Styela clava: one gene and its partners. Each later gene encodes a partner of the first gene's protein in a complex. Links are inferred from orthologs where the notes say so. Each region holds a gene or a part of one and is shown in the gene's direction. Other genes may lie near its edges.

What was found.
Region 2: pre-mRNA-processing factor 6-like (region 1) and thioredoxin-like protein 4A share a complex: the UniProt entries of both Homo sapiens proteins name them as parts of the U4/U6-U5 tri-snRNP complex. The link is inferred for Styela clava from reciprocal best matches to the Homo sapiens genes PRPF6 and TXNL4A.
Region 3: pre-mRNA-processing factor 6-like (region 1) and peptidyl-prolyl cis-trans isomerase H-like share a complex: the UniProt entries of both Homo sapiens proteins name them as parts of the U4/U6-U5 tri-snRNP complex. The link is inferred for Styela clava from reciprocal best matches to the Homo sapiens genes PRPF6 and PPIH.

What each region holds. Positions count from the first base shown.
Region 1 is NC_135256.1:6,262,847-6,269,518, reverse strand, and holds the start of pre-mRNA-processing factor 6-like, read left to right. Parts: upstream 1-2,695; 5' UTR 2,696-2,775; coding exon 2,776-2,873; intron 2,874-4,296; coding exon 4,297-4,462; intron 4,463-5,700; coding exon 5,701-5,913; intron 5,914-6,672. UniProt on the Homo sapiens protein: Involved in pre-mRNA splicing as component of the U4/U6-U5 tri-snRNP complex, one of the building blocks of the spliceosome.
Region 2 is NC_135251.1:10,686,987-10,693,658, forward strand, and holds thioredoxin-like protein 4A, read left to right. Parts: upstream 1-2,498; 5' UTR 2,499-2,624; coding exon 2,625-3,053; 3' UTR 3,054-4,976; downstream 4,977-6,672. UniProt on the Homo sapiens protein: Plays a role in pre-mRNA splicing as component of the U5 snRNP and U4/U6-U5 tri-snRNP complexes that are involved in spliceosome assembly, and as component of the precatalytic spliceosome (spliceosome B complex).
Region 3 is NC_135258.1:4,509,739-4,516,410, forward strand, and holds the start of peptidyl-prolyl cis-trans isomerase H-like, read left to right. Parts: upstream 1-2,632; 5' UTR 2,633-2,758; coding exon 2,759-2,818; intron 2,819-3,244; coding exon 3,245-3,333; intron 3,334-4,286; coding exon 4,287-4,374; intron 4,375-5,615; coding exon 5,616-5,711; intron 5,712-6,385; coding exon 6,386-6,473; intron 6,474-6,672. Other genes in the region: guanine nucleotide-binding protein-like 1, read left to right, coding at 128-1,957. UniProt on the Homo sapiens protein: PPIase that catalyzes the cis-trans isomerization of proline imidic peptide bonds in oligopeptides and may therefore assist protein folding. Participates in pre-mRNA splicing.

The sequences.
Region 1 (6,672 bases):
GTCTTACCACAATGAAATTACCGTAACTTATTCTTTCACGGTCCTACCAGTGCAGTAATGCAAGCGTTGTAGCACTTGTAGCCTACTATATTTGTTTATTTTGATGAGAGTCTACTGGAAACAACATAAAATTTGAAAGGGAAGAATTGTTCTGTGATCAATTATCTGTCCTAAAGTGTAAACAACATAAAATTTGCAAGGGAACAACTGTTCTGTGATCAATTACCGTATATGGCCTACAGTGTACAGGTAAGATGCTGCCTGACTGCTAACTCAGTACCGCTTGACACGTTTTTAAAAAGTCGCTTTTCTCTTCGAATACTGGACCAATTGCTTTGAAATTTTTAGTGGTTAAAGATAAAAATTTTCTCCAGAAGGCTATTACTTTTTTTCGCTATGACGTCATCAAAATTATGTGACTCTACGTGTCCATATATTTGAGCATAGCTCTCTTGTTAAATATTCGAAGATGCTTTTATTCTATTATTAATGACTGTTTCTCACATGTTTTAAGGATTACTAATTACTTATTTAAGCTGAAATCTTCTTGTCGGTTTATTGGACACGAAATGGACCTATAGATCGTTTTGTTATTATGTTGTTGTTGATTATCATGTTGTTAGTATTTTTTTCTTTTTTTTGCTGTCAAAATCGCTTTCTATTTAACTGTTGGACCAAATGCTTTAAAATTTTCAAAGATTGTATTTTGCACTAGAAGGCTATTTTTTTTAATTTATTTCAATATTTTTGTGGGCTCTATGGGATTTGTTTTTTGGCGCTCTAGAAGTATGTGCACCAAGATGGCGAACAACAACATGATAACCCCAACCTGGTACACAATATACTATGGTCAGGTTGTGCGCCATCCTGTGCACCCAATTCGGGAGCACCGGTTTCTGTGTGCGATTTCGTCATCGAAAATTGCTCACCTTGTGGCAGTTTGCGGTACGTGTTGAACTTCGTGTCGATATATTTGAGCATTGTTCTCTTGTTAATAATATTGATCGAATACTTTACAATTCAGCCACCAAGATTTCAGTTGTACAATTTTGATATGTCCGTTTTCCTTTCTAATGCATTACATAAAAATTGATGCATAAGCCTTGCAGATAAAAACATAATTTGACATTATTTGATTCAAGCCGGAAAAGAAATCAGTGATTCGAAAGTCCGGTGAGGAATAGAGAATCTCGCACATAACTATCTCCCGTGGGATTTGACCCTGTGAACCTACGCAGGATAATCAGAGGTGCAGTGGCGATCGTTTATCTAACGCTTAGCACGATGCGCCCACCGCCGAGTCACGGGAATATGTAATTCCATTCAACACTCAAAGAAAGGCATGGTAGCTGACGTTTGGGGCAAGTCACATATCGCATTTGACAGAGAATTTTCGTTACTTATACAGTAATAATATTCGATAACAGAATCTTTGTATTATTCAGTTTAATATTGATATCACTGTTGTAATAATGTTATGCTATTTAATTAACATATTCATATGTTACCTAGCAAATCATTCAGCGTTCTATTCTTTGAAATTTTGTTGATTTGCTTTCATATTATTAGAAACAAATGTTTTTACGACACCTGTGGGCTCGTTGATACCGTAATGATTTGAGCGTTTCCATCGCCTGATCTGTTAAGCCGAAAAATATTGGATTTCAATTATCGCAACTAAAATTTCGGCGGCTGAATGGTAATGCTGTTGAGCAATATTGCTAGTTAGGATAGGATTTGCACATTTATCTCGGAGAAGATGAAAGCCGATTAGACGGCTTAATCATATGGCGAACCGGTTACACCCTAAAGCGGTGAGGAGTCTAGCAATCCTCTCGCACATAATCAACCCCGCATGGGACTCGAACCTTGCGAACCAACGCAGGGTAATCGGAGATGCGGTGACGAGCGTATTCGTAACGCGAAATATTTTTATTTCCACAAAACAATGTTAAAAAGGACAACAGTACAGATTATGTAGACAATATGAAATTATAAAATAAAGACAGAAAATGAGACGGCTGTTAAAATAAATTTTTTTTACTATTCGACAATTTACATCAGATTTATTGTATAGTTCAGAGGGCATGTGTAAATAGTTAAGAGGACATGTGTAATGCTTAGCACGATGCGCGTCACACCGACGATTTAGCAAGATTAGGAGTTTTTATTGTAAATAAATAATTAGTAATCCATAATACATGTGGGAAACAATCATCAATATTAGAATGGAAACATCTTCGAATATTTCAGAAGAAAATCACTGTATTTAATTTATCTGTTCCTGCTTATAACCACCACTTTCTTGTCGAAAATAAAATTCCGAGAACGATACCATTCGCAATTCCGAACAAATCATCTTTCATTTTAGTAATGTAAAGTCGATGATCGAAGCAGCACACCTTATAATTATATTGTCATAACTCCACATTTTTTTTGTTTTTTCAATGTATTTATACCGTTATATTCTGATATTACCATCAATGCGAACATTAAACAAAATCATTCCTCAAACCGCCTTGTGGTTGGAAAAGTTCGTGGGGCGATAGTATAGGTTCAAAGGTTGGAGTGCTCAAAAGAGAATTCTGAGGGGTGCACTGCGACCTGTGTGCAAGATGTCTCAATTCCGTTTGTCATTGGAATTTATTTGGCACAAAAAAGAAAGATTACTCAACAAAGGCAAACGGCAGAATTTAAGTATTTAATTTTTTTGTTACTTCCAGAAATTTAGATAGAACAGATACTGCACCTAATAGGTTCAATTCTAATAATTGAATGGCTGAGTTAACTGGCGTTGTACAAACACAGAAAAAAAAGAAACCTTGGTTGGGGCAACCAGCTCCCCCCGGATATGTCCCTGGCCTCGGGCGTGGGTATGTTTTTAATTTAATTGCATTGACATCAGTTTGTTTTAATGATTGAATGATTCGTCATGTATGTGTGTTTCAATAGTTCACAGTTTAACCAATATATCCAATGGTTTTATTGTCTGTATTGGGGTCTCTCTCCTATCGGGATCGTTGCGACGACTGGACGAGAAAACAAGAGCAATGGCTGTTCGATTTCGGGTTCTCGTCTGCGTGTCTTGGATGACAGTTCGCATAATTTGAAGGGCTCTATTACGTCACTGTGACTTCGTAGTGACGTAATTTTTAGCTGGTGTGGTCAGGCCTGTATTGCGTACCGTCAGACCGTAGAACTTGCTAACACCATTTTGAAAAACTATGCAAACTTAAAACTATGCTTTGAAAAAACAAGAACGAATTTGCTGATTATCTTGACACTCCAAGGACGGGTTCGCACGAGCCCCCTGAATTCCACCACTGATTAAACAGTCAGTTATACAGTTACACTACAACTACTGGACTATAATCAGCCCGACGAAATCTTTTTTTTTACATCATGATAAATATTGTTTACTGTTTTGTTTTGTTTTTATGTCAGAGTACCGAAATAAATGATTGATTGATTACTCTTATTTACAAAATCTATATTCAATTTTTCAACTTCTATAAAGTTATTAAAATGGTGTGGCAAACAATTCCCTGTTTTTTATTACAATTCTTGTTTTGGGTCCTGTATAGTTTAATAGTGCAAATATGTCTAGTAGGCATGGCTCAACAGTTTTCGCATATGTCATTTCTAACCCCCACCTAACTATGTCATCCTGAGTGACATCACTATGATGGCACAGTGACGTAATAAGGCCCGCCGAAATATTCGGGCAGCTGTCCAGAATGTGCTGGGGATCACCCAAAATCGAGAGGGTTACGTCATATACGTTCCCTCCTTTTCTCGTCAAAAATCCTCATATGAGAGAGATTGATAGGGTTAATGAGTTTGTTATCACCTGGCGCTGACGCCATTTTGAGCGATGGTACATACAATTTTGCAAGCTGTATGACATGAATGTAATGTTGTAGTGACATAATTTATGGATGGTGTAGTCAGGTTGGGGTTAGGAATAGGATTGACATGAGCAAAAATCATTATGCTACGCCCACTGGAAGTACTTGAGGTACGAAACTACACAAGACCCGATGTAAAATATCTGCAGATTACATGGCCTGCGTACTCCTGTCACACACAATATCTTTTCAAGGATAATGATAATTTCATTCAAGGCTTAAGCGGAAATGTACAAAATAATTTATTTGGAATTGGTTAACTTCCGTGATATAAAATATTTAATTTTGGGAACATTTGGATTCCCATTTTCAATTTTTTTACTTTTTATCTTCAACATTGATAAAAAAAAGATGAATTATTTTCACAACTTTTATATCATATTTTCAGAGCTACAGGTTTCACTACGAGATCTGATATTGGTCCAGCTAGAGATGTTAGCGATCCAACAGATGACCGCCATGCCCCTCCTGGCCAGCGAACATTCGGAGATCAAATGAAAGCAAAGAAACCAGAGGATGAAGAAGAAGATCTCAATGACTCAAATTATGATGAGGTAGCAATTGAAATAATTGCTTTCTTTTTGGCACTCCCTATGTGAACCAAGATGGCGTACACTATAACGTAATATGTGTACCAGGTTAGGGTTGTGCCATAATTTCAAGTCCAAATACTACGGTAGTCACTTGGCTGGTCACCGAAATCATAATAGAATTCAAATAAGGAAAATTGGCATAAAATTATTGCCTAACCCTAACTTGTTCAGGTGTCCACCATCTTGGTTCACATACTACGGTAGCACCTTCTTTTTTTTCAAATGTTTACCTGAGATACAAACTCAAAATGCACTGGTCGTTTATGGCTTTCTCCGCTATCAAATAAATGGCTAACTATTCCCATATTAGACATGGACTGGTAGCTTGACGAGAGGATGTGATCTGACACATGGTTGAGCTGTCTTATCAACTATATTCTTTCCTGAAATAAATATGAAAAATCCATTTATCGCTATATGACGCATTATGGCGTGCTAAGCATTAGGTTTACGCTCGCCACTGCACCTCTGATAACCTTGCGTGGGTTCGTAGGTACGAATCCCATGCCATGCGGGTTGATTATGTGTGAGAAGGATTGCTGGCTTCCTTCCGAACATGGACTGGTAACCGGACGAGAGGCTGTGGTATGCCATATGATTAGTCTGTCTTATGGCTTCCCTATTCCTCGGGATATATATGTACTGTAAGTCCTATTCTATAAGTATTGTTGCAGTTGAAACTTTTACAGACTAACAAAATCCATTTCTAGAAAATAAGACATAAACTAGTTTGAATTTACTACGATGATATATGTAGACGTTATCACTTTTACATATTATGCTATGATGAAGTTTTTGTTTGTATGGAAATTCAAAACGTCTGCAAATTGCATGTTTTATTGACACCTTGAACGTTTTATATAAGTTTATTTCGACTCCTTAATCAGCATAACAATAAAATGATTGATAAAAACAAATAAAAAAAATGATTGTGGAATCAGGAGAGCGAACAAAACCTTAGATAAGGTTTAAAACATACAAAATATAAGATGGAAGGTTTTGCCAAGAAGAATTGGTATGTGTTCACCCACCTAAAATTATTAAACTATTTCACACACGCACCCACCACACACACAGAGAACCACAGAGGAATTATTTAAGTAAAAAAGAAAACGCGACCTAACTTGTCCTAATATATTTTATGTAACGAGTAACGACTCTATTATACTCCTGTTTCTAAAACACAATCTGTATTTCAGTTTACTGGATATGGAGGAAATTTATTTGCATCTGCTCCTTACGAGAAAGACGATGAGGAAGCAGATGCTGTTTATGATCATCTCGATCGGAGAATGGACGAAAGAAGGAAGGAATATAGAGAGGAAAGGGAACGAGAAGAACTGGAAAAATTTCGTGAAGAAAGACCAAAAATTCAACAAATGTTCTCAGACTTGAAAAGAAAACTTGGAGTGGTAGGATCTCAAAAATTCATTCTTTTAAAAACCATACATGAGTGGCTTAGATTGACTAAGAGTTTTTGGGTCTAGTGTAGTTCGTACCTGAAGGACTTCTAGTGGGCGTAGCATAACAATTTCTTCATTATGTTAATCCTAACCCCCACCTGACTATGTCATCCGAAAATTACATCATCACGACGGTGGGGGTTAGGATTGAGATGTGCAAAAATCTTTATGCTTCGCCCACTAGAAGAACTTGAGGTACAAAACTACACGAGACCCGAATTTTTGATAGTTATATCACAGTAAAAATAAAATACACCGGCAGATAGAATTAGGGCGCTGGAGCCAAGCTTACCATAATAGACGAGCTGAAGCTACCAGAAATTATTCAATTGATTCCAAGTTTAAAATAGTTAAAAAGTGTGTGCAAAAATCGTTATGCTACGCCCACTAGAAGAACTTGGGGTACAAAACTACACGAGACCCGAATTTTTAATAGTCATATCACAGTAAAAATGAAATACACCAGCAGATAGTGTTGGGGAGCTGGAACCAAGCATACCATAATAGACGAGCTGAAGCTACCAGAAATTATTCAATTAATTCCAAGTTTAAAAATAGTTAAAAAGTGTGTGAATCAGAGATTTCGCCTGTTACTTTAGATGAGGTCATTTGTGAAACTTGCAATTAAAGTACAATATGGAGTGAAATTTTATTTCCTGTTTGGGAAGCAGAACTATTAGTATGTCATAGTAGAATTTTTGGCGCTCT
Region 2 (6,672 bases), on another chromosome or scaffold:
GGATACATTTCAGTCAAGACTCACGGAACAGTCATAACCCTTTTAATTTAGTTGCTGTTAGCTGAAACGCGTAGGATAAGCGTACTATTGTTTATCCATTGTCTATCTTTTATTTCTGGTCAATATGTGAGATGTTGAGTAATTAGTTATACGACAATTCTTTTGCATTCTTTGTTTCGATTTTTTTTTTAAATATTTATCACGGTGGAGATGAAAACCGATGGAACGACTTGATCGTGTGACGAGTCAGGATACGAATCTAGGCCCGGTTTTTAAACCATTTTTCCGTATTTATGGTGCCTACGTGAACTTTTTTGCTTCTTTCGAGGAATTCTTCGATCGTCGAGTATTACAAGGCAAAACATTTGCATTACCAGACATTAGTGCTTTCTGTGGTTTCCCAATGTCTAATAATTTATTTTTACATAGTGTACAAAACTGCAAAACGTTTCATTTAAAAATTCAAATAAATATCATCATATTAACGGACTGTAATGTTATGAAGCGTTTGGTAATATTAAAATAACCATCGAACTAATCTTGAATCATTTTTACAAAGCCCCGGCCACTAATGCAAAAATGTGAGATTTGAGTAAATCCCCCGCAACGTGTGAATAATATGATATGGAGGTTGGGGTCAGAATTGATTCGAATATCTAAATTTCCTGGGTAATTTGCATTCCTAACCCAAACCCCCAGCGGATAATTACTAATTTCCTTATTTTAATCGTTGGTGGGGGTGATTTTTGTTGGGGTCTTTGTACAAAAGAAACCCAATTTTAACTTCTTTTGCCATAAAGATTGCGGTATCATTGGTATTTCGTCCATTAAATATTCAAAGAAACGGGCGACCAGGAGCTTTGGAGGTATGGTGGTCAGTGAATGCGCGCTGGCGCGGGACGCAGTTCAAGTCAACACGGTCAAGAAAATAGATAGGCGGTGTCGATTACTTTGTGGACTTCATTTAGGACGATCTTAACAATTACGATACAACGCTTCATTTTGTCTGGTAATTTGTCTAAAGTTGATGCTGACTGCTTGTTGAATAACTGAATCCGATAGTTAGAACAGCCTGAGATAAAACGGTAGGCAAAAACTCGGCTTCGAAAGTTCGATTTGTGTTGTTTTAATTCATGCCACGAGGATGAAATAAAATGATTGATCGTAAACTAGTGGTTAGTGCCCATGATTTTGTCGCAAAAGACATTAACTGCGCCTACACTACGGCTATTTCCAAAGAACTGGAAAGAACGAGAAAACCAAGATAGGCCCGGTCGAAAAGCGGCAGCTGGCGATCAAATTGAAATGCGACTAGATTACTTATGGTTAATGGAAATTCCTTCATAGTGAAAGCGGATTTTTTTTATAATCTCAGTCATGGTATACACGTACGAAGAATATTTCATTGAGAAGGCAACATATAAAAGATATGACGAAAAATATACCTAAAAATTATGACAACTTCCATGGCGAAGCAGGCAATTGCCAAACTTGACGAGTCACAATAGTGTTCGTTTTTTAATATAAGTTGTGGATTCAATTATACCAAATTTGTATAATCTCATTATTAAACATTGTGAAATAGTTTTTTTTATGATGTGTCTTAAATTTCACGAGTGGCTGATTCTGTACTCAGCATTGCCATATTCTAGCAATATTTTAATTACTGAAAAAACGGGTGAATGATTAACCATAAATTGTGTAATAGTATTTCCCTTTGTTTTATGGAAACCAAGATATCGGCTTGAACTAACATATTTCATTCTGAAAGCAACGCATAAAAAGTTATGTCGAAAATTAATCATGGAATAATATGGCAATAGTCGGAGCGAAAAATCAGTTATTGGCCGAATTTTACATGTCCCTATATGTGAACATTTATTCGAATACAAATAAAACTCAAACTTTGGTAGAAAAATACGTTAAAAAACGATGTGCCTAGAAGAATACTTGATTTCACAAGTTCTGGTTTTAGGATGACACCACAGAGAATAATGACACCAAAGAGAAAATACTGCGCTCGCCCGTATGAAACAAATGGCGACCCCGAGTGACGATATTGGATGGACTAAAAAATTCAGAACGTTTTAGATACGTCGTAACTTCTGCCTGTTATCTTTTGTGTACCGGTAAGGAAACTAATACTGGTGAACTGGTATGACTGTATGATAATTGATGAAATGTCTGCCTACTCTGCAATTTGTAATTTTAATCATTTTTTAGCTAGACAAGATTCTTGGTGCGATATTCTCTCTCATTTTGATAGGGTGTGGTTTGTATTTGGTTACCGGTAGTGCAAACTGCAGTACCGGTACGGTACTGTCATTGTTAAAAATTTTGATAAATTAAATTGGCATTATTCAATAGGCAGATATATCATGTTTTGCAGAACACAGATTCTATAATACAGGAGTAGGTACCGGTATCAGATTTGAAGCTTGAGACATTCTATGCGTTTCCGTTATTCCTTTTTTTAGGCAATGCATATTTTTGTTTCTTCCTAGGTTTTTCTAGTTTAATATCAATAAAAAGCAGAGCAAATATAAAGAAATTCATCATTTTTGTGTCTCTGAACTGCATAGTTAAATTTTCTGGACCTCCAAGCGTAAAAAACTTCGAGCAATATGTCTTATATGCTTCCTCATTTAACAAATGGTTGGCAAGTAGACCAGGCAATCTTGAGTGAACAAGAGAGAGTTGTTGTCATTAGATTCGGGCATGATTGGGATCCAGCCTGCATGAAGATGGATGAAACGTTATACAGCATCGCTGACAAAGTCAAAAACTTCGCCGTTTGTTATTTAGTGGATATCACAAAAGTACCGGACTTCAACAAAATGTATGAATTGTACGACCCTTGTACGACTATGTTTTTCTATAGAAATAAACACATTATGATTGATTTGGGAACCGGTAATAATAATAAAATTAATTGGCCTATGGAAGATAAACGAGAAATGATCGACATTTTGGAAACTGTTTACAGAGGAGCAAGGAAAGGCAGAGGTCTTGTCGTTTCTCCTAAAGATTATTCAACAAAATACAGATATTAATTTCTTTTAAATTGTTTCAAAGCGAGCTCAAGAATACTTATATGTGAACGGAATATATTAAAAAATAGCTTTGTTTTAATATGTGTGAGGGACTACACCAAAATCTATTTCTACATATTTCACAAAAGTATGGTTTTCTACCAGTGTCTCTTAGAGTAGGCTGCCACAAATTGCCTAATTTTGACAAATTATTTTCACATGGGACAGGAGTATTGTGTTTTGCCAAAGCATTCATGTTTTTTTAAGGCACTTTATTAAGGTACATGTTCTATTATTTTTTTTAATTTTTTTCCGCGCAAGTATTGTTTATTCCCAATAGCAAAGGGCGTAAAATCAGTCAAACTTACAGTAATCTGCGACGATAAGTTTGGCCTTTTGCCAGGTATTGAAAATGTCAAGAGTTGTCAAGACAAACTGTCAATATTATATCTGTTGTTCAAACATTATGTTTGTGTTCACCCCAGAAAAGGGTTCCAAATTTCGTTTTCAAATTTATTTAATTGATGTCTCTGGTATCTCTAAGATTCTACAAAAATAAACTGTGGCAAAATGTCTCAATAATATGTATATGAAATGTATGTTCAAAAAACTTAATTTTAAGAATGCAAATGAAGTAAAATCACATACCAGGTGAATGAATGAATATTTCTGCAAAGATATGTTTGGCATTTTGTGATTATTCTCATATTTCGGATTGTCGAAGTTGTCAGTATTAAAAAATCTGTCATCATGAATGTTCATATTTGAATTACTTGTAACTAAGTGATCGTCTATTCTGACAGATTTCAATATAATATTTATGATATTAAGGTAAATTCATCCATATTCAGAAACGTGGGCAGTGGGATAAACTATAAAAATGTTTATTAGTTTCAATTCTTTATTAGCAATTTGAATTGATTATGAAATAGCCATTCAGAATTTAAATTGGAGAATATTTTTAAGATAACTACTACCTACTCTGAACATATAAATTCTGAATTCATCGAATATTCACTTTTACTTAGTATAATTTAAAATGTGGCATCATCCTTGTTTCATCAGAAAGGTTTTGGGCGGTATATTTGATTACTGACTAGTTTATTTTCTGTTTCTGCTGAATTTCTGTGCTTATGAAACCCAATTTTTTCATATGTTTATATTTTAAATTTATGTAGAAACATTAGGTAAAGGCATAGGTTTCTGACTCTGGAATGACTCCTAGGGTAACAAACCGGACAGGGTAACAAACCGGTCGAAATGCCTAATCTCGAAAAAGTTATTTATTTGCATATGCTAATTAAGAACCTCACAGTAGAATTCGACTGAGTCAATGTGTGAATTATGTATGATGCGATTAAAATTTATTTCTTGTTTTGAATATGATGTCCATGCTATTTTTTTGGTTGGATATAAAGTTTATATATTGTCTCATTCAACACTGATATTTTGTTGAACACACACAACTCACTCTTACCACCAGTGTTGGAAGAAAGTCCCAAAACTTCGAGTTGCAGGTCATGGGTCATCTGAGTCGATCACTGAGCTATGTTTCACTGATGGTTAGTTGGAAGTTTGGGACGAATCATTTATTTCGAATGACTTTAATCACTGTTCAGGTGAAAGCTGACCTCTATGACCGTATGGGCATATCACTCCCTCCTGTCCATACCAAAACAATTTTATTGCTGTTGCTATCTTATTGATGACTGTATTTTTTGGACAAAATAATATTCTCTCTCTCGCTGTTATATGGTGACTTGAAACAGAACTGTGCCAATTGGGCCTCTATTTTTCGATTGACTAAATAATAAATCTCTCGCTCTTATAGGGTGACTCGAGTCAATGAATCGAGCTACTACAATACTGCTCTTTTCTATTTATGCATCATCCACTTGCAATTTTGTAAAATAAATACCACTTTACACCAGTCTATGTACTTGACATTGATGTTTTTTGTGATTTTTGTAACAAGTGGTCATTTAGTGGTGTCTGAAAATGTGGTGTTCCATTTTGCTACACCTATCTCACTGTCATGACTTAGGGTTAAGTGAGCAAATGAAATTCTGAGTGAGAACATATGTAATACTTAGGCAAAGCGTTAGAACAGTGGTTCAGAATTTGTCACATCTCGCGCCCCACCTCAAAAAATAGCTAGCTAACAATAAGCTACAAATAACAGATAGTAAGGCGAAAGTATGTTTTATTCAAAAAATACTTGGATGGAACTTAAATAATGAAATAAATGGAAAGTTTTGAAATTTAAATATACAAAATAAGGCGGGCAAGATCAAATCTAAGTAATATTTTTATTTGGCTTCACGTCCTCTCAAAAAATTGTCTACGTCCTCCTTGTGTGGCGCGCCCCACCGTTTGAGAATCACTGAGATAGAGTGTTTATATGCAGTGATATTCATACAATTAATATTGATAATTAATACAAGTCCTTGAAGGGACATTTTTGAGGCATGTAGTTGGGAGATTTGTGTGCGTCTAAAATCATACATAAATTGCACAAAAATCTGTGTTATTTACTATTACTAGTTGATTCATGTAGATCAGTGATTCCCAAACTGTGGTACGCGATGGTCTTACAGGTACATTCTTCACCAAATTTCTTTTTTCTGCATTTTTATTTGACCTAAAGGAGTCCTTAGTTGAGATGGGGTATATCTTTTTGTTGAAGCTGTCGTCATCGTGGTGAGGTATTCCGTGGTAAAAAACGTATTTTTTCTTATCACTGCGACGTCTTATAATGTTTAGGATAGATTCGCCCTCAGCGCTAAGGTTCTTCCATCGAAGTTGTTATCGTGCTTGAACTTAATTATCGAAATAGTAAATTTCGTTCGTAAACTTCAGCTCTAAATAGTTGGTTGTTCACGGTGATTTGTGAACAGCAAAAACAAAACACAAGGATTGTTCGCGCAGCGAGATTCTCATCCCTGGTGATTTTCAAGTCGAAGAAATAAAACCACACTTATTGCGCGCGCGCTTCAATTTTGATCTGCTGTGAGCTGATGCACCGATCAGCTACCGGTAGTGGAAAATAAACGAATAAATGCAAGCTAAACAAATTAACTTTTTTGGCAAATGAACCCTTAGAATCCTTCTGTACACACCCAGAATCTTTCGACACCTATTAACATGGCTCATCGTGCTAAGGCTAAGGCTTATGAATACGCTCGCCACCGCACCTCTGATTACTCTGCGTGGGTTCGCACGTTCGAATCCCATGCGAGGATAGTTATGTGCGAGAGGATAGCTGGACTCCTCGCCGCCGTAGGGTGGTTCACGTAACCGATGGTCGGTTTCGGCTTCCTCTACCATCAAGTTCATGCTTCCGAAAATAAATACCTAACTAATGATCCAGCGTTTCCCAACCTTTTTGGTCGCGGGCTATTTTCTCACGGGTGAAAATCGTTGCAGACTCATAATGCATTAATTGTAATCGAAATCTTTGTGAAAAAGCAATTAAACCAAACACAACAGAATTTTAACGAAGTCAGTTTATTAACCACATTTACAAATTTTAATGGGAGCCTTGTTTGTCCCTGAACTTGCACCACTAGTTTGTCGAAATCTGGGTATATTCGTCAATGCACATGCAAGGGCGCAGCCAGGATTTTCAAAAGAGGGGTTT
Region 3 (6,672 bases), on another chromosome or scaffold:
GGCTTGTGTATTGTAATTATTTGCACCATGACGAAGTTCGTAATAATTTATCTTCTCTATCTCTTCGCTGCCTTAGGGTGGTTCACGTAACCGCTGGTCGGTTATGGCTTTCTCCACCATCAGGTCCATGCTTCCGAAAACAAATAACTGGCTAACTATATCTTTTTATCGCAGTCTTGTAGTCTACCTTTCAATGCCGAAAAAGAAACCATTTAGTGGAAAACAAAAAAAGAAACAACTTCAGGAAAAAAAACATAGAGGTGAAGGGTCATTGACCCGATCAGAAAACAAAGAAGCATGGAAATTACAAGATCAAATTGAGAAGTACGATTCCGACTGTTCTTCTGGAGATGGGAATCCCCATGCATTTGAAACTGGACGGAATATTCACGGTAAAGCGACGAAAAGTACGAATCCGAGAGACAGGTATCGACTGAATTTTCTTCGAGAATCGAGGGATGAAGTCGACAAGCGTAAATTGCAATCACAGACGGAATTGCTCATTCCGATTCCACCGGAAAAAATGGAAATGAGTATAGAAGAGGTTTATCAACCTGGTTCGGAATTGGACATGCCTCAGCGGCCACATTGGGATTATCGTGATTCAAAACAATTATTAGAGCAACGTGAGGAAAAATATTTTTCAACATATCTTGACAATCTGTACTCCAAGTTTGAAGACAAAAATCTCAGTTATTTTGAACACAATTTGGAAACGTGGCGGCAACTTTGGCGTGTGATTGAGATGAGCGATGTCATAGCAATGGTCGCTGATGTAAGGCATCCAGTGCTCCATTTTTCTCCCGCATTGTACAACTTCGCCATTCATGTTGTCAAAAAACCTTTAATACTGGTTTTAAATAAAATCGATCTGGTTCCAGCTCCTGTTGTGATTGCCTGGAAAAAATACTTTGAAAAGAAATTTCCTGAGCTGCATGTTATAACTTTTACTTCGTTCCCAAAAAATTTACGAGGAGACGCTGCGGAAAAGCGAATTAGTAAAAAACGACCTGTTGGAAAACGTGTTTATACCACGCAAATAGGTCCGCAAGATCTGCTACAAGTTTGCAAAAAAATTTGCGGAGACAAAGTTAATCTTGAGAGCTGGGAACAGAAAATATTGAATGACCTTGAAGGTCTAAATTGTGACCTTGAACCAGAGATGAATATTGAAGAAGAACATCAAACCTCTGAACAAGGTCCAGAAAGTAAAGAGTTGTTTAAAAATGGCAGACTTACTCTTGGGTTTGTGGGTCATCCTAATGTCGGAAAATCATCGCTTATGAACGGCCTTATTGGAAAGAAAGTTGTGAGTACTTCAGTAACGCCAGGACACACAAAATATTTCCAAACGTACTTTTTAACTCGTGACGTAATGCTATGTGATTGCCCTGGTCTTGTATTTCCATCACTTGTGCAAAAACAAATGCAAATTTTGAGTGGAATTTACCCAATTGCGCAAGTACAAGAACCTTATACTCCTGTGGGGTATTTAGCATCAAGAATTCCGATTGTAAAGCTATTAGGCATCACCCACCCTAATGGTGAATCAGAGTGGACAGCTTGGGATATTTGTGAAGGATGGGCGGAAAAACGAAGGTTTTATACAGCGAAAGGACGGCGTACAGATGTGTATCGTGCAGCGAATAATATTTTAAGAATGGCTGTTGATGGAAGGTTATGTTTGTTCATGTTGCCCCCAGGATATGTCAAGGAAGAAAAATCTTGGATGGCTAATTCTGAAACGTTGAAACTTTTGAGTCTGGTCTCAGATCCTGGCAGTGTTGGCGATATATTAAGTTTTCATCAAATGTTTTCTCACCCAGAAATAGCCAGTTCTGAGCACGATACTCAAGATTCAAGCAGTGGCGAGGAGTCCGAATCTTCTCATGAACATGGGGACGGTGGTAAAGGGTTCTCTGTGCAAAATAAGTTTGCTTTACTAGGAGAGGACTGATGTTTAAATATTTCCACTATAAAAGACTAAAAATAGCATTTTTATGTTATAAGTGTGTGCATATGGAATTGGGCGATGACTTGTCAAATTTTATGTGACTTTTATGGTGTACGGTGATTAAATTACTCATTTTTTTTTGTCATTTTGATTATTTAAAATGATAGCCAGATATCACCAAGATTTGGTTTCAGTATCAGTACTTAATTTCATAAGTTCATTGTATAATTTATTCATGCTATATATGAGATTATTTGCATGCTATTGTGACTGTTTTATTGGAGTTGTCCTGCCTATTGTAATCCCTTTTGCCTTAAATTGGTGTTTAACCTCGCATCAAGTTGTTGAATGGATAATACTGTATATCTATCTTATCATATTCTAGTAATTCCAATTCCTTTGCGATGGAAGTCTATACCTGATTCCAATTTATTATCTGTGCCTATGACATTGTAATGCCCTAACAGGTAGTTTGTGCGAAGCGAACAACGTATTTCATAGGATTAAAAACCGAACTTTTTGTGCCTACAACTACTAGAAAGCCTATGTTAAATAAAGGTGCGGTCCACGGTTTCACCCAGTTATTTGTATCTGGCTCTTCTGTGTTATTAAAGGTTGCACAATCCCCGTCCTAGATTTATACTTTTTTCTGTGGATGTCAAAAGTATTTGGTAATTCAACATATAAAATTGATACTCATCATTGGTAATCATCAATATTCGATCATTTTTATCATCGGTATGTTTTATTAATTTCAGTTAATATTACTATTTATATATTTGTATTGGCGGATTGTATCCCAAAATGAGTGTGAGGACTCCAGGCAATCCCATTGTGTTTTTTGATATTTCTATTAGTGGCCAGGTGAGTGAAAATACAAATAGACTCTACCTCTTTTATAAAAAATCTAGTTTTGCTTTTAACAGTCCCAGCTTGATAAACCCTGGTCTAGTAATATTACCAGTTTTATATAGTGTGTGTTTAGCATGTTTTTGTCCATAGAAAAGGCCATTGTCTGGTGCAGGGGTTCTTAAACTTTTATAACTCGCGCCCCCTTTCTAGAATTTGTCAAGTATCGTGCCCACCTCAAAAATACCTAGCTAACAATAACAGGCGAGATCAAATCTAACAACTATTTTTATTATAATTAGCTTTACGCCTCCTCAAAAAATTGTCCACGTCCCCTTGTGGGGTGCGCCCCACTGGTCTAGTGCCATTTTCAGAGCTTTCAAGAAAAGTATGTAGTCCTATTATATATTGTTTTTAAGACTATTCTATCATCTTTTCCAGGATGTAGGTCGAATGAAAATGGAGTTATTCAAAGATGTCGTGCCAAATACTGCGGAAAATTTTAGACAATTTTGTACAGGAGAATACAAGTAAGTCCAAGTAATAAAAGAAAGCAAGGTTATTCAACACAAATCAAATTTTGATTCGATTTGAAATCAATTACAATACTCAAGAATGTGGACAGTGATGGACACAAAGGTCCAATGACTCCCACTGAAATCATTATCTAATTCAGGGTGGTCCAAACCCAGGCCCGCAGGCCACATGTAGTCCGCCGCTTCATTATCTGTGGCCCGTGTCACATTCGGAGAGTAATCAAAAAATCGCATTTTGTGTTGTTTCGTCATAAAATTAATCAGAAAAATCTTTTGACATATTGTCATCACTGATGTCACTGAATTAAATAGTGTTATGGCTAGCAGGGGAAACTAGCGAAGTTGAGTGACGTGCTTGGCAGTCTAAATTGTTATCTGGCTTTCTAACTTTTTGGTCGGGAATATATGCTAACAATATATGCATCATAGAAAACTAAAAATCAACTGCAGATTCTATTAGCTAAGAATGGCTATGCCTGATAACTATGTGTTTGCACAATAAAAGTGTTTATTTTGTATTGCACTGTTTACCTATTTTTGGCACTATTGTGGCCCGCGAACAATGCAAAAATAATATTGTGGCCCGCGGAGCCAACAACCTTGGACCACCCTGATATAATTATTCAAAAGCTTCAAATCAAAGTTGCAAATCGAATACGACCTAACAGTTTGCATTAGTAAACCGGTACCTTTAGTGCACCAGTAAAGCCTTAGCTTAGCAGTGAGCACCGACTACGACAGAAAAGAAACTGACTGGGCTGATGTAATGCCATTTCGTGCCGCAATATTAGTAAAAATAGAACCCTAATTTTCAATAAGATGCATTTGTGGAAAGGGTTTTGTTGCATTTCTATTTGAAGTTGTAATTTTCGAGATACAGTTTTTACTCTATTATTTATTATCTTTTCATAATTTATGTAAATCACATTACTTCTAATTCTATTTAGAGTAGATGGGATTCCTATCGGTTACAAAGGAGCAACTTTTCATCGAATTATTAAAGATTTCATGGTTCAGGGAGGTGATTTTGTAAAGGTGGGAATGCATTTTAGTTAGTTTTTTGGATAAATTTATGTGGCCGAATTTATGTTTAATGTAGTCACTTAAAACCCAATTATTGTGAGTAACATGGTCGTGGAGAACGACCAGAAGTCAATGATTATGCTCATTTACTAAGAGGTAAACGAGACTAATGTCTTATCAAAGTTATGGATATCACTACTGTCTACCACAGGGGTGGCCAACCTTTCACATACCATGCGCCACGTTTTAAACATAATGTTTCAGATGCGCCGTAAATCTCTTGTATTCCCACGCCTAATGTCCGCTTCTTGCAACAGGCCTTTAGTATCAATATCTACTCTACTCTACCCTCGATTCTAATTGGCCTCTGCTAATCAGCTGTTTGGCCTAGCGTTGCGTGATTTTACTCCAGGCTTCTTCGAGATTAGTACTTACGTCACAGCAAGCGATTTTACGCTTCGCTTTTGTTGACAACGGTCTTTTGAAGTTTGTATGAAAAAGGTGGTATTTAGGGGGCATTTTCAGCATTGTTGTGGGTTGATTTATAATAAATTTTTTAGGCTTGGGCAATTCAACTGGTTGTTCAATGGTTATTGGGAGATATTTGGGAAGTCTGGGCAAAGGAAAATCCATGTTTCAAGCTGATAAATGACGATTTTCTATTTTTCCAGAAGTTCTGAACTTTTTACTTCAGTAGGGAAAAAATAGTAAATTTTACTAATTTTTGCTAAAAGTCTAGAATGAATGTCATAAAGTCCGTCCAAAAGCTAACGTCGATAATCGCCTGTTGTTTCTAATTCCAACAAGCCTTAAGTGGGCGACGTGGAGTAAGGAGAATAGATTTTAGGTACAATCAAAAGTCACCATGTAAATCGCAAAAAAACGACTTGGCGTCGAGAAGCCAAGTGCAATTAACAATTTTGGCATGAAAAGGGTTAAAGATGCAATGCGCCACCTCTAATCATGCAATGCGCCATGTTTGCCGCATGCGCCATAGGTTGGGCACCCCTGTTCTACCACCTGCTGAAATTGTATATTTCCTCAATATTTTTTCCTGTTATTTGATATTTCAGATATTTGGTCCTCAAAAATGTTCAGAAAATATTTTTCTTTTGAGTTGATGAGCATATCTTTGCATTGAGTAAATTCTACAGGACAAAGACCATCCTCACATCCAAGATTGCAGGCTTTGGTCCTCACATCAACTTTGTTTTCCTCCTTGATAACCATTAATGTCCAATCCATATTTCCAGGGAGATGGGACAGGCCTCACAAGCATATATAATGGCATCAAATTTGCAGATGAAAATTTTAAAGAAAAGCATACAGGACCAGGATTGCTATCAATGGTGAGTTTCAATATCATCCACATAATAAAAAGAAAGGATTTTCGTGGTGTATGATTACTCATGCGATTTGCTTAACATGTTTTGTGCTTTGTCGGGTGGTGGTTTGAGTTAGTCAATAGCGGAAGTCGCTAAACGAGTATACGTGTATATTTCTTGCAAACAGGGGTTCAAGAACACATTAGTTTTCACATAACACCACTTTCAAAAGAGTGATTTCCCTAAACTAGGGGTCGACAACCTACGAGTAACATAATCCGGCCCGCGGCGCTTCACTGAATTATAGTAACAAAACAGCTATTTTGACGATTATATTTTTTACGTTACACAATTCATTGTGAGACGTGTATAGACTAAATTATATTACAATCAAACAATTGTAAAATTCACAACTACCTGTTTAATGAGCCTATAATTCAATTATAATCAGACAAATGGCAACAAAACGCAGAAAAGTTGATGCTAAGTGCAAAGGGTTCAATTGCGCCAAAAATGCAATGCAATGAGGAAATAAATCTATCTTCTATTCAAGAGATGTATCACTGCTTCATTTTTATTATAAAAAGTATCATCCGTTCGGTTTTCAACTTTCTAAAAATATGTGCTTTATGCTGGTTCTAAACTTTATGCTGGTTCTAAGCGAAATCTTATTTATGCACTTTCATTTGCTTGATCAGGCCAACAGCGGACCTAATACAAATGGATGTCAGTTCTTTATTACTTGTGCGAACTGTGAGTTCCTTGACAAAAAGCATGTAGTATTTGGTGAGTATAGGAAGTTTTTTTTAAATAATCATTGTTGTTTTTTATGATCATAGCAGCGTTTCCCATTCGGGGTGAGATTTCTTCCCATCAAAGTGTTCAAACGTTTTAGTGAAGGAGACTTTACTTTGTTTTGGCGTGCCTTCACTAAACACTATCTACCTATTTTGATATTATTGTATTATAGTTGGTGATAGTTGTT